3 linked regions of the Lonchura striata genome follow. The protein of the gene in region 1 interacts with the protein of each later gene in a biochemical or structural test. Links are inferred from orthologs where the notes say so. Each region holds a gene or a part of one and is shown in the gene's direction. Other genes may lie near its edges.

Evidence for each region. The genes of interacting proteins can lie anywhere in the genome.
Region 2: the proteins of KBTBD8 (region 1) and TCOF1 form a complex in vitro, tested with the Homo sapiens proteins (2 studies listed by BioGRID, with this or other methods). The link is inferred for Lonchura striata from reciprocal best matches to the Homo sapiens genes KBTBD8 and TCOF1.
Region 3: the proteins of KBTBD8 (region 1) and NOLC1 form a complex in vitro, tested with the Homo sapiens proteins (2 studies listed by BioGRID). The link is inferred for Lonchura striata from reciprocal best matches to the Homo sapiens genes KBTBD8 and NOLC1.

What each region holds. Positions count from the first base shown.
Region 1 is NC_134614.1:18,915,485-18,923,042, forward strand, and holds the start of KBTBD8 (kelch repeat and BTB domain-containing protein 8), read left to right. Parts: upstream 1-4,550; 5' UTR 4,551-4,644; coding exon 4,645-4,660; intron 4,661-5,880; coding exon 5,881-6,091; intron 6,092-6,726; coding exon 6,727-7,558. UniProt on the Homo sapiens protein: Substrate-specific adapter of a BCR (BTB-CUL3-RBX1) E3 ubiquitin ligase complex that acts as a regulator of neural crest specification.
Region 2 is NC_134617.1:6,328,593-6,335,893, reverse strand, and holds the start of TCOF1 (treacle protein), read left to right. Parts: upstream 1-4,291; 5' UTR 4,292-4,305; coding exon 4,306-4,419; intron 4,420-4,911; coding exon 4,912-4,967; intron 4,968-7,301.
Region 3 is NC_134609.1:13,347,096-13,354,627, forward strand, and holds the start of NOLC1 (nucleolar and coiled-body phosphoprotein 1), read left to right. Parts: upstream 1-4,522; 5' UTR 4,523-4,563; coding exon 4,564-4,677; intron 4,678-4,814; coding exon 4,815-4,870; intron 4,871-4,947; coding exon 4,948-5,069; intron 5,070-6,157; coding exon 6,158-6,273; intron 6,274-7,051; coding exon 7,052-7,193; intron 7,194-7,532. Other genes in the region: PIK3AP1 (phosphoinositide 3-kinase adapter protein 1), read right to left, coding at 1,366-1,378. UniProt on the Homo sapiens protein: Nucleolar protein that acts as a regulator of RNA polymerase I by connecting RNA polymerase I with enzymes responsible for ribosomal processing and modification.

The sequences.
Region 1 (7,558 bases):
AATTAGGTTTTCAGGGGGACCAAACTCACTGAATCTCTTTTTCGTGTTCCCTGTGTTGCACAGAGCGGTGAGATCCAGCTGAGTACTGAGTTCTTGTCTTGGTGCAGGTACCCCAGCCTTCTCTGTGAGGCTACTCCTGCCAAACTTTATTTTGACAGTGGCAGAATGGCTGTTTTGCTCTGCACTGACTGCTCCAGGATACATCACTGTCACTTCACCTAAATGGCACCAGTCACCCTGGTTTGTAGCAGCTGCTGGGACTTGCTGACCGCAGCAGAGCCTGTCATTGTGAGATTAAGGAGGGATTAGCTCTGCAATTCCAGTCAGCCTTCAGAGAAAGGTTAAAGACTTTGGGAGGAGGAAGTACGTGTGCGTGCGTGCACATGTGTCTTCCAAAACAACAGATGGTTTCAATAAAGTCGCTCCTGCTGCTAGGAAGTGGCACTTCTTGACATTAGCAGAGCCATATCTCATCAGGATTCTTGTTTCTACCAGCCTGGCTCAGCATGGCCAAAGCCAGTGTCTGGCATGGGGTAATCAGGGCAGCACTCCGGTATCTGCCCCATTAATTGCCCCCTGCCAGCCTGCCTCTCTCCTGATGGAACACCCACTGTGCTCAGTGTGGCGGGATCGATCGCCTTTGAAGGACAACTTTCCCTCATGATCTGCAATTCCCCCTACTTAAACTGCAGCCAGAACTGCCTTTTTACGGATTCTGCAAGAAATGTGTGATTTCTTGGAACCGCTAAACAAAAACCTCTCTGCTCCAATCAATGGATCGATGTATTAAATTATTGTGCAGCTAAATTAATGTGCCCCTCGGTGGCAGAATTGCAGAAAATGAGCAGTGTTTTATGCATTAAAGACAACCTAGTAAAAGATTGTTTTTCAAGGTTAGATTGTTCCACAGTGAATATCAAGATTTTTCCAATTAAAATATGAGGGGTTTTCGGAGCTGCATCAGCTCTATTGCTTCTCACAGTGTCACAGTGCAAATTAACAGGCACAAATAACTGAAAAACTGGAAATAGTAATTGAGACATATTTGGGAGTTAGCAAGTAATACTTTTTTTTACTAGTGTTTATTTAAATTGTATAGGTAAACAATTTTGCTGGAAATCACTGTGGAGTTATTTTGGTGGGATTTTTGTTTGCATGTTTAAACTCAAGAGTCATGAAAAATGCCACCATTCATAATGTTGTCAAGAAAAACAAAAGAGCTTCTGCAGCCCTTGGTTTTCTCTTTTCAGGGAAATGTGGGGATAGGCTGTGCCTTCCTTTCACAATGCTCTCTTTTCAGTGAAAAAAACAGTAAAAAGGGGAAAGAAAAAAAGGAAAACAGGATACAGGGACCTCTTCCTACAACTTTAAAGTAAACATGATATCCAAAACAAAAATGGCAATATTCACATGGATTAAAATTTGTTCCCTTTGAAAGCTTCAACCCTGGTTCACATTTTCTCTGAATTTTGGTCCAGTTGCCTTTCTTTGTTTTGCTGACAGGAGAAAACATGGGAAGTTTCCTACACACCAAATACTGTGTAGCAAGAGCTGCCTGCTCCAAAAGTTCTCTGCAGCCTCTCTTGTGCAGCAGGAGCACTGGGGCAGGTTACTCCCAGGTGACCCACACCAACCACTTCACAGATATGATGTTCTCTCTGCCCCTATGCTGAAGGCAACCAGATGAACCAGTTTTCTAATTAACTTGTTCAGCAGGTGCAATGACAAAGGAAAACCTTTTCAATAACTTCATTGTTTACCCGAACTCTTTTTATGGATATCTTCTAAATTCTCAAATATCTGAAAAAGTTTGTATTTTGTCCACTTTCTCCTGAAACCTTTTCTTTTCCTCTTTTCTCTCTTGAGCTCATGACAAAGACATTTTTATTCTGAAGGCAAGAATCCCAGAACACACAGTGCCAATTCTGAGTTTATAAGCAGTACAGTCTCTCTAATCACTTATAAAAGACAGACATAGACTGTTTGTTCCTTATCAATTGACATAATTTCTTTTTTATTTTGAGCCTTTGGAATATCAAATGGGAAAATTTCGCCACCAAGTGTATGTTTTCAAGCTCTATCTCCAGGAATGATACATTAGATGTGAAATTAAAGCACAAGTGAAAGCATTCTGATCCATCAGTAACAAAAACTTTAAATCCTTGCAAAATCCTAAAATAGGTTTCAGTGCATTACTGACAGACTGAAAAAAAAAAGGTATTGAAAATTATTAAAATACATACCAAAACCTATTATAAAATAAAAGAATTTATATACTATGTCTATTCACAGGTCCCCATTGTCTCCTGGAAAGCAAGAATTCATGAAATTAAATTATTTGGTCAACAGCATGAAGAAATTTGTGGCAGCATTAAGCTAAGAGCCCAATTTTTCACTTCTACACTTAAATATGGGCATGTATCACTCCACAGACAAAACAACAGGAGAAAGAAAATGATGCAGCAGAAGGGAGATGGAATTCTTCAAGCATCTTGTAATTTCTGAAAGAACAGGCTGAAATATTTGTGTGCAATGCAAATGCCATTTATATGAAGCTTTAACATGGCGTGTGACTGTCAAGGATTTCAGAGCAGCTTGCACAGGCAGCACATCTCATTCTGCCCTTCAGAGTTCCAGGGAATACTGTGCAGAACTGGGTGAAAAACCCAGATCCCCAGACTTCCATGGCAGTGCTCCACGGAGCAACATCCTAGGAGTGCTGATGGAGGTTTCCAGGGAGGGGAGAGGGTGATGGTGTTATTCCACTTGAGAAAGGCTCCAGCCTTAGCAAAGGTGCTGCTATGGATGCCTCTCAAAGCACATCTAAACCTGTTTGTATGGCAATTTGCTTGCTTCACCAAAAATCATACAAAGGTAAGCAATTTCAAGAAAGGCTCACGCTCCAAAGCGCCAGTTCAATGTGGGATTTGTATTAAAAAACATTCTACATTTGGCTTCTGCATTTTAACACTAATCCAGCCCGGCCCACGCGCCCACACCGGAGGAAATGAACTGTATCAGGCAATGTCATTTGCTAAAGGGTAAGAGCAGAGGAATTCTCCATCCCTTCGTTTCAGATTTCTAGGGACAATTTCACAGGCCGTGCCGTTGCTGGATGGGGAAATTGGAAAACTGCAGAATCCATTTGCGGACGTGAAGTTCTATTTTCTTTTACAGCGCCTTCATCAGAGTCTCCATCACTCCTGCGTTGTGCAGCATTATCATCGGAGCAGCCTGGACACCACTGATAATTGCTGAGTGAGGGGAAGGCTGTGCCTTGCAAGCCAAAGTAAAACCACCAGTGGGGCTGCACTGCCTTTAAATTCACTTTAAATTCACCTGCTTTGGAGAAGTGCTCATGTACTCAGGCTACTAATTCCTGAGAGTTAACTGAAATTAATTTAAAAATATTATTCAAATTGGTTTGTTTTGTTATTTTTTTTTCTCCCCAAACAAAACTTCCCAGCTAAAACCTGTGAGGCTGTATTAAATCTATTTAGCACAGAACCAGGAAAAATATACACAATTTTGCAATGCTTCCATTATTTAATTCTTCATTAATTGTGTTTCACAAAGAAAAAACTTCAAAACCTCTTCCACAACAAATGCCTGATAATGATACAGTTCCCAAGAATGAGACCAGTGGCTAATTGCTTTAGGAAACTGGAAAACCTGGTGGCTATCATCCACTTGTCCTCTGGGATGGAGAGAGAAATGTGATATTAAGGGTCAGGGGCAATGAAATGGTCACTTGTGTGCTGCATTCATTTCGCAGCTCTGTGGGACAGGTAGGGCTGATCTGGCTGTCCACAGCGTGCTGGGGTCACCAACCCTGGAAAAATTCAGAATATTCTTGGTGTAACAAGCTTTCAGACCAAGTAGCCGATTCTTAGTTCCTATCAAAGTTTAATTCAGCCTTGCACATCCAGTGGTCTCACATCCTGCCCCTCACCACACCCCTGGAGCATTAGGACGCTGGCAGGCATTCCTGCGCCCCAAGGTCAAATATTTGTGCGCAATGCAAATGCCATTTATATGAAGCTTTAACATGGTGTGTGACTGTCATGGATTTCAGAGCAGCTTGCACATCTCCTTCTGCCGTTCAGAGTTCCAGGGAATACTGCGCAGAACTGGGTGAAAAACCCACGGCGGCGGCAGCTCCGGGCGCCACCCGCTCCCCTCGGCGTTCGCCCCAGGAGCCGCAGCTCAGCGTGGGCAGGAGAAGTGCGGGGTTTGGGGGCGGAAGGGGCAATTTCCCCCTCAGGAGAGGCCAGTTCTGCCGGGTGTCGCTGCTGAGGGGAACACACCGCACCCCGCCGGGACAGGGCGCTGCCGCTGCCCCGGGGCCCAAAATGGCGGCCCGCCGAGGCGCCGCCGCCTCGTTGCTACGCAACCGGCTGGTCCCGCCTCCCCCCGGGAACTACAACTCCCAGCCATCCCGCTGCGGAGGGACTACAACTCCCGGCAGGCCCCGCGCGCCAAGGGCTGCCAGCCCGCACTACATGTCCCGGCAGGCAGCGGGGGCACTGGCCAATGGGCGCGGTTGATGCTGCGGGGTGCGCGGCCGGCGGTGAGCGGGGGAAGCGGCGCGGTGACATTTCCTGCCGGGCCGCCCCCGGAGCCGCTGCCCGAGCGGGGCCCAGGATGGCAGCGCTGGGAGGTCGGTGCGGGGCACGGGGGAGCGCCCGGTGCGACACGGGGGGTGCTGGTGCGGGGTACCGGGGCAGGGTGTTGAGGGGTGTCTGTGGGGGAGCGGCCGTGAGGGGGCTCGGGCCTGTGCTGTGTGAGGGGGCTCGGGGCTGTGAGGGGTCCCCGGCAGGGCAGCGGGGCTCGGCCGTGCGAGCTGATGGCGTGAGGGGACGGCTGCTGTGTGTGGGAGCGGGGCAGTGTCTGTGTGAGGCTGAAGGAGCTGTCCCGTGAGGGACCCCCCTGCTGGGTGAGGGGAGGGGGCTTGATGAAAGGCTTCTGTGAAAATGGGTGTGCTCTCTCGCTCCTCTTTGCCCCTTTGTGTTGCCTAAATTTTGTCGGAAGCACTCTGTTGCAGTCAGTAGCTTTACCTGATTTGCAGCTCTGGCCACCTAATGTTTTTCTTTTCAGCTCGCCTTTGTTGTTTTTGTTGCGTAAAAATTTTGGTGCTATTACGAAACAGATTTTGTGCTTGAGCTATTGCTCAATTTTCACTTTGGGATTTACTTCATTAGGCTTATCACATGTTATTTAGCAGCATATGCTCTACTAAATATGTTTCCACGGTCATATATGAGCTCCTTCACACGTGAGAAATTTCAAATTATAATTCTGTTTTATTTGTAGAGAAAAGATGTAACTGTATTTACAAATTTACGAGTTTTAAGTTAAGACTTATTGTAGGGCTGTTTCTTCATGAGCCTCTGCTCCAGCCATTACTTGTGTAAGGCAGGAGCCAGTTCCTGTTTCAATGTGAAGTTAAATATTTACATACAGGCTTGTGTAATGGTGGGGGTAGTTTGGGGACTTATTTTATTCCTCTGTGTCCCTTTCTATTTTAAATGTCAATATGTGTTGTGTTTCTTGACTTGATTTCCCCTTCCTCAGTTGTATGAAGTATTTGTATTGTTTTCCTTAATGGATATAAACTCTTCAGGGGGATAGAACAGAACTTTATAGTTGAATAGTAACTGACAAGTACATTGTGAAAAGGAAGAAAAAGTATTGAGATCTCTTTAGGTATTTACACACCCATGACAATGTTTGGCTTGCTGTTGAAGGATGATGATGCTGAGAAATTATGGAATATCAATTTGTGCTTTTTGGGTTTTGGCACATGCATGAATTTTTTTTGGAGGCTTTTTTCTTTTGTTACTGGTTGTTTTCTGTTAAAGTTTCAATTTTGCTTTGTAGAACCAAGTCAGTTTTCACAAACACTGAACGGAGTCCCTCCCTCAAACCAAGTCAGCAGTGGAATGGACCCCTTCCATGCTTGTAGTATTCTCCAACAGCTGAAGACCATGTATGATGAAGGACAGCTGACAGACATTGTGGTGGAAGTGGATCATGGGAAGACATTCTCCTGTCATAGGAATGTTCTTGCTGCAATCAGTCCTTATTTCAGGTAAAACCATCCATTGTTCTAGTGGGGATCAAAGCAGACAGAGTATTAGTGTAGGTATGATTTTTTTAGATTTTCATTTAATGAAAATAAGTTCTGTGTATTTCTAGATAATAAAGTGCACTAGCAAGTAAAGATTGTTGTTCTCTTAAGGTCAGTGGATTATCTGTGTCTGTTTCTTAAAGGAGAGTTTCATTGGAGACAATGTCACACAATTTTAAACCAAGCAAAACTGCCCCTGCTACTGAGGTTATCAGAGATACAGTAAGAACATATTGCAACTACTTGTTTTTTTCTCAAGTTACATATTTGAGCATGCATGTGAAATAACTTGCTGAAGGTTGAATGCAAAGACTTGGAAATGCCAAGATCTTTGCTTGTAAACTCAGTGAATTTTAACATGGGGTTAATGAGATAATTAAGAAGTTCCACTTTTGATTCAGTAAGAGTAGAAATGATCTTAAATTTAGGTACCCCAACAGGAGAGTTTAACACCTGTGCTAAATATGTTTGTGCTGACAGAGGGGCAAAGGCATTGGGACTAGATGTGTTTAATTTGTGCCAGTTTAATCGGTTTAATTTTGTGCCAGTAGCTAAAGGCAATAGCAGACAAACTGCTGGGTGTTCCTGCCTTGCAGATCGATGTTCACGAGCGGCCTTACCGAGAGCACGCAGAAGGAAGTTCGGATCGTTGGTGTCGAGGCAGAGTCGATGCATTTAGTGTTGAACTATGCATATACCTCCAGAGTAGTGCTGACAGAGGCCAACGTTCAAGCTTTGTTCACTGCAGCCAGTATCTTCCAGATCCCTTCCATACAAGACCAGTGTGCTAAATACATGATCAGTCATTTGGACCCACAGAACTCCATTGGGGTGTTCATCTTCGCTGATCACTATGGTCATCAGGAACTCAAAGACAGGTCGCAAGACTACATTCGCAAGAAGTTTCTGAGTGTCACCAAAGAGCAAGAGTTTCTTCAGTTGAGAAAAGACCAACTGATAAGTATCCTCAACAGCGATGATTTAAATGTAGATAAAGAAGAACATGTTTATGAGAGCATTATAAGGTGGTTTGAGCATGAACAAAATAAGAGAGAAGTGCACCTTCCAGAAATATTTGCCAAATGCATCCGTCTGCCTCTGTTGGACGAGACGTTTCTAGAGAAAATCCCTCCCGTGTTTGCACAGGCGATGGCCAAAAGCTGTGTACAGAAGGGACAACCCAGTGCCAATGGCTACACACAGCGGCTTGGAATGACCGCTTCCGAAATGATCATATGCTTCGATGCTGCCCACAAACACTCAGGAAAGAAGCAAACAGTGCCTTGTTTAGATTCGGTCACAGGGAGAGTGTTTAAACTATGCAAGCCACCAAATGACTTGAGGGAGGTGGGAATTCTGGTGTCTCCTGATAACGACATTTACATTGCGGGTGGTTACAGGCCGAGCAGCAGCGAGGTCTCCATCGAC
Region 2 (7,301 bases), on another chromosome or scaffold:
CCCAGGTGGTGCCCCCTGGGCTCTTTCCAGGAGGCAGAGGGCTTGCAGCTCTTTGACAGGGCACTCAGTAGCAGGGAAGTTCAGCTCAGCTTCTGAACTGGGCCATGAAGATTATCCTTCTAAACATGACTTGCATTTTCAGCCAATGTTCTGACCCATGAAACACATCAGAGTTACTTGTTGGGGGTCTCAAGGGTCCTGTCCCTGGCCACCCATCCCACCCTGCTCTGGAGCCAAGGCAGAAGGAGCATTGTGCCTGCAACTAATATTCTGGATGGGACCAGCAGCCATGAAACATGTCAAGTGAGGAGCTGCTGCAGCTGAGGAGCAAACAGAGCATCTTTCCTCTTGTCCCTGCTCCACCACTGTGGTGTAAACACCAGCCAGAAGCAAAGGGAAAAGAGCCTGAGACCTTCCTACATATAGATGCCACACGTGCTGTGTGCCACCCTGCCCTATGATCCCTCTGGATCACAGTCCCTTCATTCTGCAAGTCCCATCCGGCATCACCAACCCCATATGCACCAAACAAAAGGCACCAAACAGAAGGTGACAGGAGACATGGCACTGCTACCACACATGACATGCCAGGGTGGACAAAGACCTGAAGGTGGAGAGCAGCATTGTGTGTCCCTGCAAACCCAAGGGTCCTGCAGACATGCCTGGGGGCTGTCAGCTCCTGCTGGGAAAAACACAGGAAGGACAGAGCTCCCCAGCCTGCAGGCACACTCCTGACCCCAGGCTTGGCTGGGACACAAGCAGTCATTCAGAACGGAATAGGTGTGGACAAGTCTGACCCCAAGCAATAACCAGGGAGCCTGTGAAAGTGGCAGCAAGCAAAGACCTCAGCTTGTAGGCTGAGGGCAGGGAAGGGCTGTGTGGTTATTAGCAGACGGAGCTGAGCTGGCTCCTCAATTACAGCTGTTTTATCCCCTGTCTGGACTTCCAACAGCTTCCTCCAATCCCTTCGTGACTCAGTGTCTTGGCATGGAGAACACATACCTGAGAGGCTGGATTTTGAAATCCACCAGGGACATTTCACCTTCCTAAAATAAAGAGTGGGCAAAATATTTTCAAACTCCTTCCAAAAAATGTGCACACACAAAAAAATACCACTCCTTAATAAGCACATGTTGTTGGATCTCAGCTGGTTTTGGGCTGGGGTAGATTTTCCTGGTTATAATCATGCATCTGTTTGCTGACTGAATAGCTGTATTTATTTTTTGACATGTTTACTAACCACCTCAAATACCTTCTCTACCTGTAATTGTGGTGCAGCATACATATTATTTTTTTTCAGATTTCTTCATTCAAGTGGGTTGTGTTATTCCCAGGCCCTGCGCTGTGGTTTGTGGAGTGTATTCGTGGTTTGAGGGTATGAAGCTTTGGACTCAGGTGACCCTGAACTATGGCAGACCGGTGAGGAGATACTTGGTGGAGGCAGGGGGAAAATGGAGTCAATTTTTCAAGCTATTTGTACATGGGTGCTCAGAGCTTTAACATCCTTTATTTTCCTTTCTCAAGCAGTCTCTCATGAAAGCGTTTCCTCCCATCTGTGCCCATCTATCTTCCTCCTTTCCATGTTTTATTGAAGTTGGTCAAAGTCATGCTTTCTAGTGCATGTGTGCCCTGAACCACAGGCAAAGAGGAGAGGCCTGAAAATGCAGCAGAGCAGGGGCTTGCTGCATTCCTGGCACCCAAATGCTGCGATGCTTTCCCCGGGCACCCTGTAAAGAATCGTCCCCTTGGCACGGAGATCAGAGGGCTCTGGAGAAGCGGGGCTGGCAGAACACCTCCAGCCCCGCCCTGCAGGGCTGTGCTCCTCTCTCCTGCCCTACCTGACCTGAGTGTCTCCTTGCATTGTCCACCCCCTGCAGGTTAGCAGGATGTGCTCCCCTCCTTTGTCTCTCTGCTGGAATCTCAATGATTTGCTAATCTGGTCACCTGCCACCCTCCCCCAAGACCTCTCCAAACAGTGCTTTTGCAATTCCCTGCACCACACAAGCCTCCTTTAATAGTTTGACATTTGTTTCAAGATGTTTGGAGAGCGTTGCTGCCTGGAAGAGACCCTGAACCCGGGGCACCAGCTCCTCTAATCACCAGCCTGCTGGGTTAGTGCTCAGATTTGGCTTTTTTTTCTTTAACTAAACAAAGCAAACTGAGCAATTCCTAAAGGTATAAAGCCATTCCAAGACAATCACAAAGCAGGTCTGAAGCTGTTCATCCATATCCTTGCAGCAGAGCTCTTTTTGGGCTCCAGGGGCTCAATCTGCATCCAACCTCATTTCCAGGGGCCATGAACAGCATCCTCAGGCTGCCTCTGTCTGCTCAGCCCCATCCACAGCCTCCCCAGGAGACACCCTTCTCTCTCCTCTCTGCCCTGGGCTGTTTCATCTGGCTTTTCCTCTCCAGACAGGAAAACCAGGGCTGCAAACCAGGCCACCAGCTGAGACTTTGTGCCTCATGTCACCTCAGAGCAGCGCTGGGACAGCTTGTGGTCCAGCCACCCCCTCACAGAGTGTGCTGAGGCCACGTTTACGCCAGGCTGCAGTGCCCACTTGAGCAGGAGGAGGTCAGTCCCAGAAAGGGCTGTCCAGGTCTGCGATTCATTTACAGGAGCTGTAAAACTGCCACCTGGACCGTGCCTTTACAGCCTTGGACCATGCTGGTGTCAAAGGCGTTCGGTGCAAGAGCCAGCTGGAGCCAGGCCAGTTTTAGATTTAATCCTGCCTAAGAATACAAATACAGGGTCTGTATTTTGAATGAGCGACAGGCGCACCACGGACATTATTAAGCCTTCCAAAAATAAACCCCTGCCAAAGTGATGGGAGCCAGATTTTTTCCTGGAAAGTATCAGCACGGGGTGAGGGGTGCTAGTGGGGCAGTCCCCTCACAGGCCCCTCTCCAACAGCTGCTCTGCATCAGGAGCAGCTTCTTCCCTCTGCCCCTTTGCTTATTTAAGCCCCAAAAACGCCAGTGTGGCTCTTCCGAGCAGCTCAGAGTCCACCCAGCACTAAATCAGCTCTGAGGATTCGCCTTCAGAGCACTTTGGATGAATCTGATGGAAAACCGCTCTGAATTACACAGAATTACACAGGGCTGTGCCTCACGCGCTGGTGCCGGCTCGTCCTCGGCCCTGCCGCTCTCTGCTCGCCCCATCTCCTGCCCGGGGCTGTGAGGGCCCGGCTGGGCCGTGCGGTGAGCCCCGCTTCCCCTGCGGGCGGGAGGGAGCCGCCGTGGGCTGGCCGCCCCCTCCCTGCTCGGGACCGCCGTGACGGGACCCGCTCTTTGTGTCCCCCGTCCCCAGCTGAGGGGTGTGAGAGACCCCCATGGCGTGACCCCGTTCTGTGACAGAGCCCCATGGCGTGACCCCCCTGTTCTGTGACAGAGCCTCATGGTGTGACCCCCCTGTCCTGTGAGAGACCCCCATGGCGTGACTCCATTCTGTGAGAGACCCCCATGGCGTGACTCCGTTCTGTGAGAGAGCCTCATGGCGTGACCCCCGTGTCCTGTGACAGAGCCTCATGGCGTGAACCCCCGTGTCCTGTGACAGAGCCCCATGGCGTGACCCCCCTGTCCTGTGACAGAGCCCCATGGCGTGACCCCCGTGCCCTGTGAGAGACCCCCATGGCGTGACCCCCCCTGTCCTGTGACAGAGCCTCATGGCATGAACCCCCTGTCCTGTGAGAGACCCCCATGGCGTGAACCTCCTGTCCTGTGAGAGACCCCCATGGTGTGACCCCCCTGTCCTGTGACAGAGCCCCATGGCATGAACCCCCCCATGGCATGAACCTCCCCCTGTCCTATGACAGAGCCCCATGGCATGAACCCCCTGTCCTGTGAGAGACCCCCATGGTGTGACCCCCCTGTCCTGTGACAGAGCCCCATGGCATGAACCCCCCCATGGCATGAACCTCCCCCTGTCCTATGACAGAGCCCCATGGCATGAACCCCCCACCCTGTGAGAGAGCCCCATGGTGTGACCCCCCCGCCCTGTGACAGAGCCCCATGGTGTGACCCCCCTGTCCTGTGACAGAACCCCATGGCGTGAACCCCCCACCCCGCCCTTCCGTTCTCCCCATCTCCGACTGGGGCGGCATGAGAGCCCCCAAGGGGTGGTTTCCTATTCTCTGTCCCGTTTCCCGCGGGGGCGGTGTGAGGGACCCCCATGAGGTGACAAACCCCTCCCTGCCGGGTCCCCCCGCCCCGTGCCGCCCCACGGACACTCCCGGCACTACATCTCCCATGGGGCCGCGCGGCGGAAGCGGAAGCCGCGTCCCTCCGGCGCGGCACGCGGGCCGCGCCATGGCCGCCGACGGCGGCGGTGGCGGGCGGGAGCTGCTCGCCCTCATCCACGAGCACCTGCTCCGCGGCGGCTTCGCGCGGGCCGCCCGCGAGCTGCAGGCGCAGAGCGGACAGGTGACGGGCGGCGGGCCGGGACGCGGGGCAGGCAGCGGGGGCGCGGTCCCGGAGCGCGGGCCTCGGCGGGGCCGCAGGGCCCGGTCCCTTTCCGCGCCCTCACCGACCACCGGAGCGCCACGCGGGTGCCGGGAGCACCGCGGGCCGTGGCTCCACGCCGGACCCACGTGGTGTCCGGCACCCGGGATGCTCCCGGTGCCCGCGGGCCGTCCCAGCCCCGAGCCGGCCGGTAGAGCCTCCCGTACCGCGGGGCTGGTGCTCCCCGAACGCGTGCTGCTCCGGGAGAAGTCTCCAGGGAAACACGCGGCCCTGGGTGCAGCGGGGCGGGGAGTGGGAGGGATTCGCCGGGAGGTGTGTGCAGGGAGAGACGGTCCTGTTTTCCTGGGGAGGTTTGGATGGGCCCCCGTGGTTGCTGCTTCTGTCTGGTGGGCACATCTGAAATTGGGTCACATTTGGGCCGGTGTTTGACTGGTGTTCACTCTGCTTTCACAGAAATTACTCCCTTCCTTCTCGACCTCTCTCGAGGACATCTTTACCCACTGGGAAAAGTAAGTCACAGGAGGGAATGAGTTTCGGATAGATTCCAGACTGTGCTGACGTCTAGGCTGCATGGCATGTGTGATTTTTATTTGTTGGAATTACATGTAGTCAGAGGACTTCCAATGATAGCTGTGCTCAATAGAATTTTCTCCTAACCTCTGATTTCACAGCAGTTCCTTTCAGATGTCCGGGGCTGTGCTGCTTTAAAACTTCCTGAGCTTGGAGATAAGTTGTTACTTTAGTTTTGAGCAGCTGAGCTGTTTGTGTTGGCTGATGCTGGAGTGTTGCATAGCTCAGTCATGCTTTACTGTAAGAAATATCCTTCCCTGTTCTGTTTCACTTTCTTTTTAAAGCCACGTGCTTTGCAGGATTATTGACCCGAGAACAGAGAAGTTGAGCAGGTGCTGGAAATGCCAGAGCTCTTACATGGACTTAAACCTTGGCATAGGTCACAGATGATCTGACTCAGAGGAAATCTCCTGGTTTCAGCCTGTCCTTTCAAGTCTTTACATGTTCCAAATGCCTTCCTGTATTGTTATCCCCCATTTGAAGGTCTGCAGGAGAGAGCTTTCCCATCTGTGATATTTGCACCCACCCTGTGCTTTGGTTGGATGTTGGAGTGAGCACTGCCAAGGCCTGTGGCAGCCTCAGTGCTGGCTTATCTGGGAATCTGTGGAGTTGGAGCTCTGGAGTGAGGATCTCCTCAGCATTAGGAGCAGCAGCCTTGGGAAGTGTTTCTTCAGAGGTGTTTCTGCTCAATGCCTCGTGCCTTGCTCTTGTCCTCCATACCTGAGCAGGAGAAAGGCTGGATCTAGAAGCATAGAATTAGGTTTGCAGTTCCTCCCTCTCACAGTTTGTTGCTCTCATGGGTGCTGATGGTGACCTTCCCACGTGCTGGTTATCCTGCCTGCTGCAGCAAACCCTCCCAGACACTGTTGCTTTTAAACTTGAAGGGCAACAGGGCATTTGCATCAGGTTTAATTCTTCTTTCTTCAGCATCACCCTTCTGTTCTGGTCCTGCCCCACATCTGTTATTCCTGAGTTCTACCTGCTTGGGAGTCAGAATGAGGGATATGTTGGGCAGTATCTTTATCCTGGAGTGCTCCTGTGAGTGCGCTGGCTTTATCACATTCTATTGCTCATAGGATTTTGGCCCAAAAATGTCCTTCCTTAATCTACCCTGTGGTTCTTGTCCTTCTCACCAATGCCACCCCTGTAGGTGTTCTCCAGTAACTCTTCCAGACTGAGCCTAAAGCTGAGTCTTGCAGTTCCATAAGTGGCTTCCCTCCTGAGCTGCATTTACACTTGGAGGATGCAGAGAGGGAGTGGAAGGGTCCCTGGGAGCTGGAGAAAGCTGGACCAGCTCAGTCCTAGGAGCAGCCTGAGCCCTACAGGCCTCAGATGTTCCAGAATGCCACAGGGACAGAGCTAGCAGACACCATTTCTTCCCCTCACAGGGTATTCTTGAGCTCCTGGTCACTCACACCAAATTATCACATCAGTGCGTGCTGTGCTGTCAGCTGCCACTGGATCAGGATGGTGTTGCAGGATCAGAGCTGCCTGTGGGGGCTGCCCTGTTACTTTGTTAAAAGGATTATTGGAGTAGTTACAGGACTTTCTAAGAGCAAACGTGCCTTTGTCTTTTCCTGCTTGCACAAAACTTGCTGTTACAGCTGTGCTGGCAGAACACTCTGACACCAAGCACAATCTTTACTCATCAAATTGCTAAACAAATCTTGTTTTTAAAATGGATGAACAAATAAAATGAGCTAAACTGGCCCAGAAATGAGACTGTTTACTTCTGATAACTGTGTGTCCCAAGGCTTACAAGCATTGCTCGTGTGAGTCACACCAGTGTGTTCCCAGTGTTACCCTTGTAATAAAGCAAATGTGTTGTCTTTAATTCTCAAATGAAAACATGGGTAACTTTATCATCTGTTCTGGTACAGGTATGATTTAGTGCCTGGAGAAATCTTTCTCCAGCTTAATGTTTTAACCCAATTGAGCAGCTTAAGTGTTTAATACTTATGTGGCCTCTTCCTCCTCTTTTTCTAACACATTTTCTGTAGGTCCAGCCACTTCCTTTCTTAAAGCTCTCTGCAACCTGACTTTCCTTTTGACTTGGAGCCCAAGTTCAAATGGCTTTTGTACCCTTTAGATTGGCTTCTCCTGGCCCTGTGGAATACCAGGACCTGGTATTTTGGGAATATTTGATCTAACCCTGAGGCTATACTTACTCTGAGACTGTAGCTGCCCCTGGAGAAGGAGTTTTTTCTGTAGGATGCCTTGCATTGAGCACCAACCTGACTGTGTATGTTTTTATTTCTCTACTAAAGTAAGAA
Region 3 (7,532 bases), on another chromosome or scaffold:
GTTTTGTGATTCATGTGTATGGAGGATACAGAAATAATGCTGTTCAAAATAACAATCCTTGACAGATGGGAATTGACTCTCCATTAAAGATAATTGTTTATGGCATAAAGGAAATGCAACTCAAAGCATCTTAATAATCAAATTCTTATAAGAGAGAGCACTTCCAGCAAGTCATAGAAACTGCTGGTGGGCCATTAAAATAAGTCCTCAGCACATTCCACATTTCAGTATGTGAAGTGTGTGTATTTAAGTGATGTATGATGAAATAAATGCATACTCTGCATACATGAAATGCACAGTAATAGTGATCACATGAGACTTCTTACCTCAACTGGAATATAAAATCTTCACTTTAAATAAAATGCTGCAAACAAGTAAGAGGAAACAGCAGAACCAAAGCAGACAACATTTCTGCAAACTTAACTTCACAGAGAGGAACGAGAGATTTGCATTATGATACATTAATCTAAAGTTGTTCTTTTTTTAAGGGTCTCTGTGAAATCACCTTCTGTTTATAAGGAGAAAAGTAGTTTTGCCCACAAGTCTCCCGAGACCTCCGTTTAACTTATTTTTACCTCACAAGGAGATACGCGTCAATGAAACACAAATGTTACTTCACACCCTGAGAATGGCACGTTTTTTTTCCTTTTTTAGATAAAACCCATACGCTTCCCTGCAAAGAGAGGAACTTGCAAATTGGGCATTAGCAAGATTTACACAATACAGGCTAAACTCCTCTCCCCTTGAGTCTGCAACTCTTAGTCTAGGTAGCCTTACCTGCACACACGTCAGCTAAAACACTTTCAATTACGGCAAACTAGCTTAGCTTGTGATCCTGTGCCATTGTGGCAAGAGGCACCAAGTATACCCCCAAAAGGAAGTGGTGCTGAAGAATAAAGCCATATTTAGGAAAAACTGACTTCTCTATAAAACATCACAGAAAAGCACACAAGTCGTACAGGCGGACACGAGCAAAATACTCTACAGAAACCCTCCCTCAGAAGTCGCTGATCTGCCAAGCCGAAGTTCACTTAAGACGCAGGAAAGCTCTGCCAGCAGCTGCCCTGAACTGCAGACAAGCGAAGCAAGGCGAGCTAGAAAGCGCTACGAGCGAAGGAGCGCCGGGGCTCCCTGAACCCGGAGAGCGGACCGCCTTCCCTTTCTCCGGCAGCGGAGCGCCAGGGGCGCGCAGAGCCGCGCAGCGGCACCGCCCCGCGCGGGCAGCGGGCAGGGCTCCGCTACGCTCCGCTTGCCGGCACCGTGCCGCGGGGCAGCTCCGGGCAGCCGCGGCCCGCCGCAGCACAACCGCGCGGAGAAGCCCCGCCGCTTCCCCGCGGCTCCCGGGACGGCAGCCGCGGCACCTACCGGGGGCCGCCATGGTCCGGGGCTGGCGCTCCCCTTCCCTCACATCGGCGGCGCAGCAAGGCGGTGCATCCCCCGGAGCCGCTCCCTCGCCCCCAGCACAGCCCAGGGCACGGCACCGGGCTCCTCCCGGCCCCGCCTCCCGCCCGCGGCGCCCCCTGCAGAGCCCGGCACGGGCTGCCCCTGCCCGGCCGCACGTCGCCTTTCCGGTACTCGGCGGGACTCTGCCCCAAGGAGGGAAGCTGCCTGTTCCAGCTGGCTCCTATCACACTTTCCGTAGGTGGCCGAGGAAACAGCGCTACAGCGAGGAAAGTTGTGTTACAGTAATACAGTGGTCTCAAGAAACCGGGAACAACAGTTGAGGAGAAGAATAAGCGATACCTGTTTTATACTCATCCCTAACTTAGGTTTTGTCATGTCTTCTATGAGGAAGGAAAACTCCTAGGGAGAAGCCAAGCTGCTCCCTAAGAATGAAGTAGCTCGATGTTCTGTGTTTTCAGCTAGAAGATGCTGTCTTCCAAATGAAATTTACCAGTTTCTGTAAGACTGTGCTCATGTTTGAGTACAGAGACAATAAGCACCAGAAGGACAACGTTATTGTTCAGAGAGTAGGACTCAATTTACTAATCTTGTCACTGGAGACAAAGCAACAGATTCTGCCTAAATTATTCAGCCTATTCCTTTGCAAACTTTGAAAAACCACTTTGAAAAACCAGTGAGATCTTTCATTGATGCACTTCACACCAAAAGCAGACTCCTTACAATCTGGCTTCCCAGTCAAGGCAGTCATTCGACATTCTGTAAACAGCTTAACGTCACCACTAGTTTTAGAACAGAGGTGATTACAAGCAGAAAGGAACCAACTGTTTTCCACTAATAAACTCTATCTCAGAAGTTAGTCAAACTCTCTTGTTACCTCCAAATCTTTCTTTACTGAAAACCTATTTTAAGCTTACAAACTGCATGCCACTACCTGTCTTCCAAAACCCAGGTGTTCTCTCAATAGGAAAGCACTAGGACTAAAAGCACTTCCTGATGATAAAGCTTTATGAGTAATTCCAGGTTTGCAAAGAAGAAACCATAACTTTCCCCTCTGAATCATCCCAAAATTATACACTAAAGAACACACAGACACTGGAGAAGAATCCCAACTTGGGATTTATATGAAAGACAAAAGTTAACTAGTTGGAAACGAGAATCTTTAAGCAAATTATTTTACTATTATGCAACAGCAAGTATATATTAAGAACTATTTAAACAAATGGATGACTTTATGACTGTTCCACATTATTTTACTGTCTTGGGGAATACAAGGACAAAATGGCTTTCCCTGCCAGGTGATCTGGACAGCTGCAGGCACAGCATAGGCGAACACACCCAGAGAGCCACACACCTTTGAAGAGAAGCGGCTACACAGCACAGGGAACAGACCTAGCTGGCAAAGGCCAGGCAGGAGAGGGAGATACTTATTAACCAGAGGAGAAGCAAAGTGAGCCAGTAAAGCAAACACAGTCAGTCATTTTCCCGGCTCCTCACAGCCAGGGAAATTCACACAGTTACTTCACACAGCAGGGCTTAAAGTAACAACAGTTTACCAGCAAAAGCTGCATCTTTTCCTTTCCAACGCAGGCAAAAACACAAAAGTTTGCTGAGCTTTGCAGATGAAGCTTGCAGCTGTAGGTCACTGTAGAGGGGAAACTACAAAAACTATTAGTTCCTGCAAACAGTTTCCTTTCTGCAACACAGCCTCGTGTTATTCCACACATAAAAGGGGCAGGGAATCTCAAAAACAAGTAAACATATCTAACCAAGCCTCCGCACAACACCCCTTTTCTGCCACACAGGCTACAGCATCTGTACAAAATTACAGAATCTTACAGTACAAAATACCACAAGAGCTGACTTCTGTTTCCCCATGAGTGCAAACATGGGTCCTTCCAGAAACACCAGGAACAGGTACAATTTGCTGAGAACAGAGCCCGTCCAGTTGTGCATATTCATTGGGCACCAAGGCACAGAACACCCACAGAGCACAGAACAGCAGTATTTGGAAATAGTTAAGTGCAGAGAGCTAGGTAGGGGAAATATAAAAAGCAAAATACTGCCTACCTACCACTGTTTTTTTGAGCCTGGCAGCCCTAAATCTAGACTTTAAGTACAGGACTCTCTTCTTCCTTGGCCCTCAGCAAGCTTTATAGTACCATCTATTGAAGGAAAAGAAGAAAAGTGCCATTCATCACAAAGGCAGGAATAGAGAGCTACATCCAGCAGAGCAAATCTGCAGTATTACAGAAAAAAAAAAAAAAAAAAAACCAACAAAAACTTTCCTGTAAAAGTAACTAAAGCTACTTAAATATACAACAGGTGAATTAAATCTCATCCTCATCCTCATCAGTGTTGTGAGCACACTAACACACTAAGCTTGTCCTGCTCAGCCCCATCTGGGGCTTCCACATCCACCCTTTTCCATAGGTCCAGAAGCTCCATTTAAGGTCAGGTCCGGGTCTTCAGCACTTATTTGAGCTATACCTATTTCATACCTTATCTCCCACCTTGAAGCCCCTCAAGCCTATATTCTAGACAACCTTGTCTCAAATTCATTTTCTGTCTCTCACAGGCTGCCGCTTTAGGATTATGGTGTTACTTTCACCAGCTCTCTCTGTTCCCGTAGGGATTTTGCAGGAGTATTCAGTACGTTCCTGTATGGGTTCAGGCTGAGAGCAGCGGCGAGTGCCGGCAGCGGCCCCGAGCTCCGCCCGCAGCCCTGCGGGGCTGCGCCGCGCTGCTGAGGGCTCTGCCGGCACCGAGCCTGCCCGCAGCTCCCAGCCTGCTCTCCGCCCCAGAGCAGCCCAGCTCCTGCTCTCCAGCATTCCCCCAGCGGTCTCCTTTCAGCCATTTACAACAGATTACAAGTACGAGTAAGCTGGTGAGTCTTAAGCGGACTTAAGTCTAAGAGTCGAATCCAGAGCGGAGTGGGCACTCCCGGGCTCCCAGCCCCTGTCCCGCCGCTGCCCCACAGGCGGCAGCAGCAGCAGCACGGAGCGTGCCCGCCGCCTCACGCCGGGCAGCGCCCCGGAGCGGCGCCGCGCGGGCAGCTCGGCAGCGGTAGGGGCGGGGTCACGTAGGCGCGCGTACGCACGCACGCACGCACGCACGCTCGCAAGCGCGGGCGCGTGCGCGCGCGGCACGTGTCGGCGCGGCATGATGGCGGAGCGGCGCGCGGTGCCCAGCGACCTGTTCCCCCTCGTGCTCGCGTTCCTGCGCGAGAGCGGCTGCCAGGGCGCCGCGCGCGCCCTCGCCAGGGAGGCGGCGGCGGTGAGCGGGGAGCGGAGCGGAGCGGAGCGGGACGGGACGGGACGGGACGGGACGGACGGGTGGGCGGGGGGACCGACCCACCGACCGACCGACTGACTGACTGACTGACTGACTGAGTGTGGCCTCTCTCGCTTTAGAAGGAGCAGGACCCCAACGCGGCCTCCCTCCTGGACATCTTCACCTACTGGCTGCGGTAAGTCCCCGCGGGGTGCGGTGTCCCTCCGCCCGGCCCGCGCCCCGCGGGACCCCGCTCAGCCCTTCTGCCCGCAGGTCTCCGGCGGCCAAGAAGGGAAAGCTGGTCCCGAACGGCGCCCAGGCGAAGAGGAAGCCGTCCGCCAGCAGCAGTGACAGCTCCAGCGAAGAGGATGAGAAGCCCCCGGCCAAGAAACGTGGTAGGTTTGTGCGCCGCCCTGGTGCACACCCGGATTATGTTTGCCATTGGCTTCTCACGTGCGTTTAGAGCTCAACTTCAGTTGCTCTTTTAAGGTCTTTCAGCAGCTGTCAGGGATTAGGTTTGTATTAACTGATTTCGGTTTTGGCAGGTCTTTTACCCATGACATGGAAGATAGGTTCATTTTAGTTAAGGCTGATCTCTGTATCTTGTTAAAATTTAGGCACAGCAGTTTGTGTCCCATGGAAGGTTTTAGCCATTCCAGAGAAATCCTAGGTATCCATACTCACCTGCTGCTTGCGTGAGGTTGCTGCCCTTTTTTCTTTAGAGCTCATGTACTAGTGCTACCAAAAAATATATCCCTGTGCTGCACTTTGCTATATGGTGAGCTAGATTTTTCTGTTTTATCTGAAACTGTTCTTGTATCTTTCATTAATCACTGTACACAAGATTGTGTGTGTCTAGCAGTAGGTTTACAGGAGGGAAAGAATAAATGAGGAAAGGGAGAAACACAGAAAAATTTGTCGTCAACTTGGGCCATCCTAAAGCTGAATTTGAATTTAGATCTTATTTTTATTTGATAAGGACATTTGTAAATATAATATAAGACAAAACTCTTTGTTTTGCTCCACATTATTGAAAAGCAGTCAGTAACCAGGAAGTGGATTTGGCCAAAACACATTTGGGTGTCTGGAACCTTAACACGACATTGCAGTGTTTCTCTTTGCAAGCACCAGTCAGTACTGGTTCAGCAGGTTTCTTTAAGCTGGAAGGTGTGCAGACCCAGCTAATATTATCTCAGTTTGAGGGGTGCTCTTTCTTTTTGGGATGTCCTCTTTGGTGATAGAAATCTGCACTTAAATTTGTGTGTGACAAAGATAAAGCCTGGAATGGTTTTATCTTTTTGCTTACCCATTTTAGAGCAGTCTGCCATACACTGCTCAAGAAACAAAGTCAGTTTTACAAACTTCAGTCATGGTTTAATTACCTTAATGTATCCTTTTGCCCTAACACCCACTAGTGCAGGATGTAAGTACTAGAAAGTTGTGAATTAACTTGCCATCAATGTATACTGTCCCTTTTTTGCAGCTAAAGCATCAGCTGTGCCCAAAGCAAAAGCAGTTCCTGCAGCCAAGATGGCAGAGAGCAGCAGTGAGGACTCCAGCGATGATTCAGACTCGGAGGAGGAAAAGAAGCCAGCAAAGGTTGGCTTTTCTTTCCAGCATCTTTAATGTGTGTTTGACAGTGATGAATACTAGCAAATTTAACCAACAGAATTGTGTGGGATATTGGGCTTACTATCCCTGGACTATGAAGTGCCCATGCTGCTGTAGATAACCATGCAAAAAGACATTTCTGTAGTGCAGTTTGGATTGGTCCCAGGAAAAGTTAATTTTTTGTCCTGCACCCACCCTCTTTGTTTCATATCCAAGTCTGGTCCTTGCTCTTATCCTAAGACTGCCAGGGCTTAATTCCTTTGTAAAGAAAGATTCAGTACTATGAGTTTGATCTTTATGTATATGGGTGTGTGTATGTGTTTGCATAAAAAAAAGAATCTTCTCTTTGCTTTTTCTTGCTGCAGTCATGGTCTTGAAGTGGAGGCAAGGAACAATGATGTCAGGGGAGGAAGAGTGATAACATTGTACACTAGAGGAGACCAACTAGAGTTGCCCAGTCATTATTTTCAGTCTTCAAGCTAGTGGGATCTGTAGATAAGAGAAGAGGACAGTGCCAGCCTCAGAACTGCCCCATTTTCAGGAGGCAAAACTGAAGACTGATGTGCATTTCTGGGAGGTTTTCTAGAGCAAAACTTTTCCCAGGATTTTCAGACCCTGACCACTAAGCAGACTGGCGTTTTCAAATCTAAATCGTAACTTCTGTGAAAGACAGCTGTTTCTACACTCTGTATATGTGTCCATCTTATTAGCCTTGTTTACTTTTCATGACTTTGAGGCTTAATCAGTTTTTCCTGCTGTTGTTTAGAAAGGTGCAAAACCTGTGGTGAAGCCAGCTGGGACCAAAATCCAGCCTCAGAAGAAAGCAGAGAGTTCCAGTTCTGACTCAAGCAGCTCAGATGAAGAAGCACCAAAGAAGCAACCACCAAAAGCAGCAACACCGAAATCAGGTACCTGTTACTGTGTATCATGAGTAAAGTGCAAAATCCAAAAAGCAGGGGGAGGAGTGCTGGGGGCTGTACCTACATGCAGAGACATACGTATTAACATAGCAGTCTGAAAATCTGCTTTTGCTGCCATTTGCACTCCAGTCTAGTCTCTTCTGACATAGAGGTGTAGAACTGAATGAAAATAAAACATCTGGTCCTGAGCACCACATTGTTTGAATAACTGTTTATCTATTACTTTTACCATTGTCGTCTCCTCAAACAGCAGGGAAGATTATTACTAAGCCTTTAGTTTTGGAACTTCCCATGAGCTACAAGACAGTTTCCAGAAAATTTTCTCTA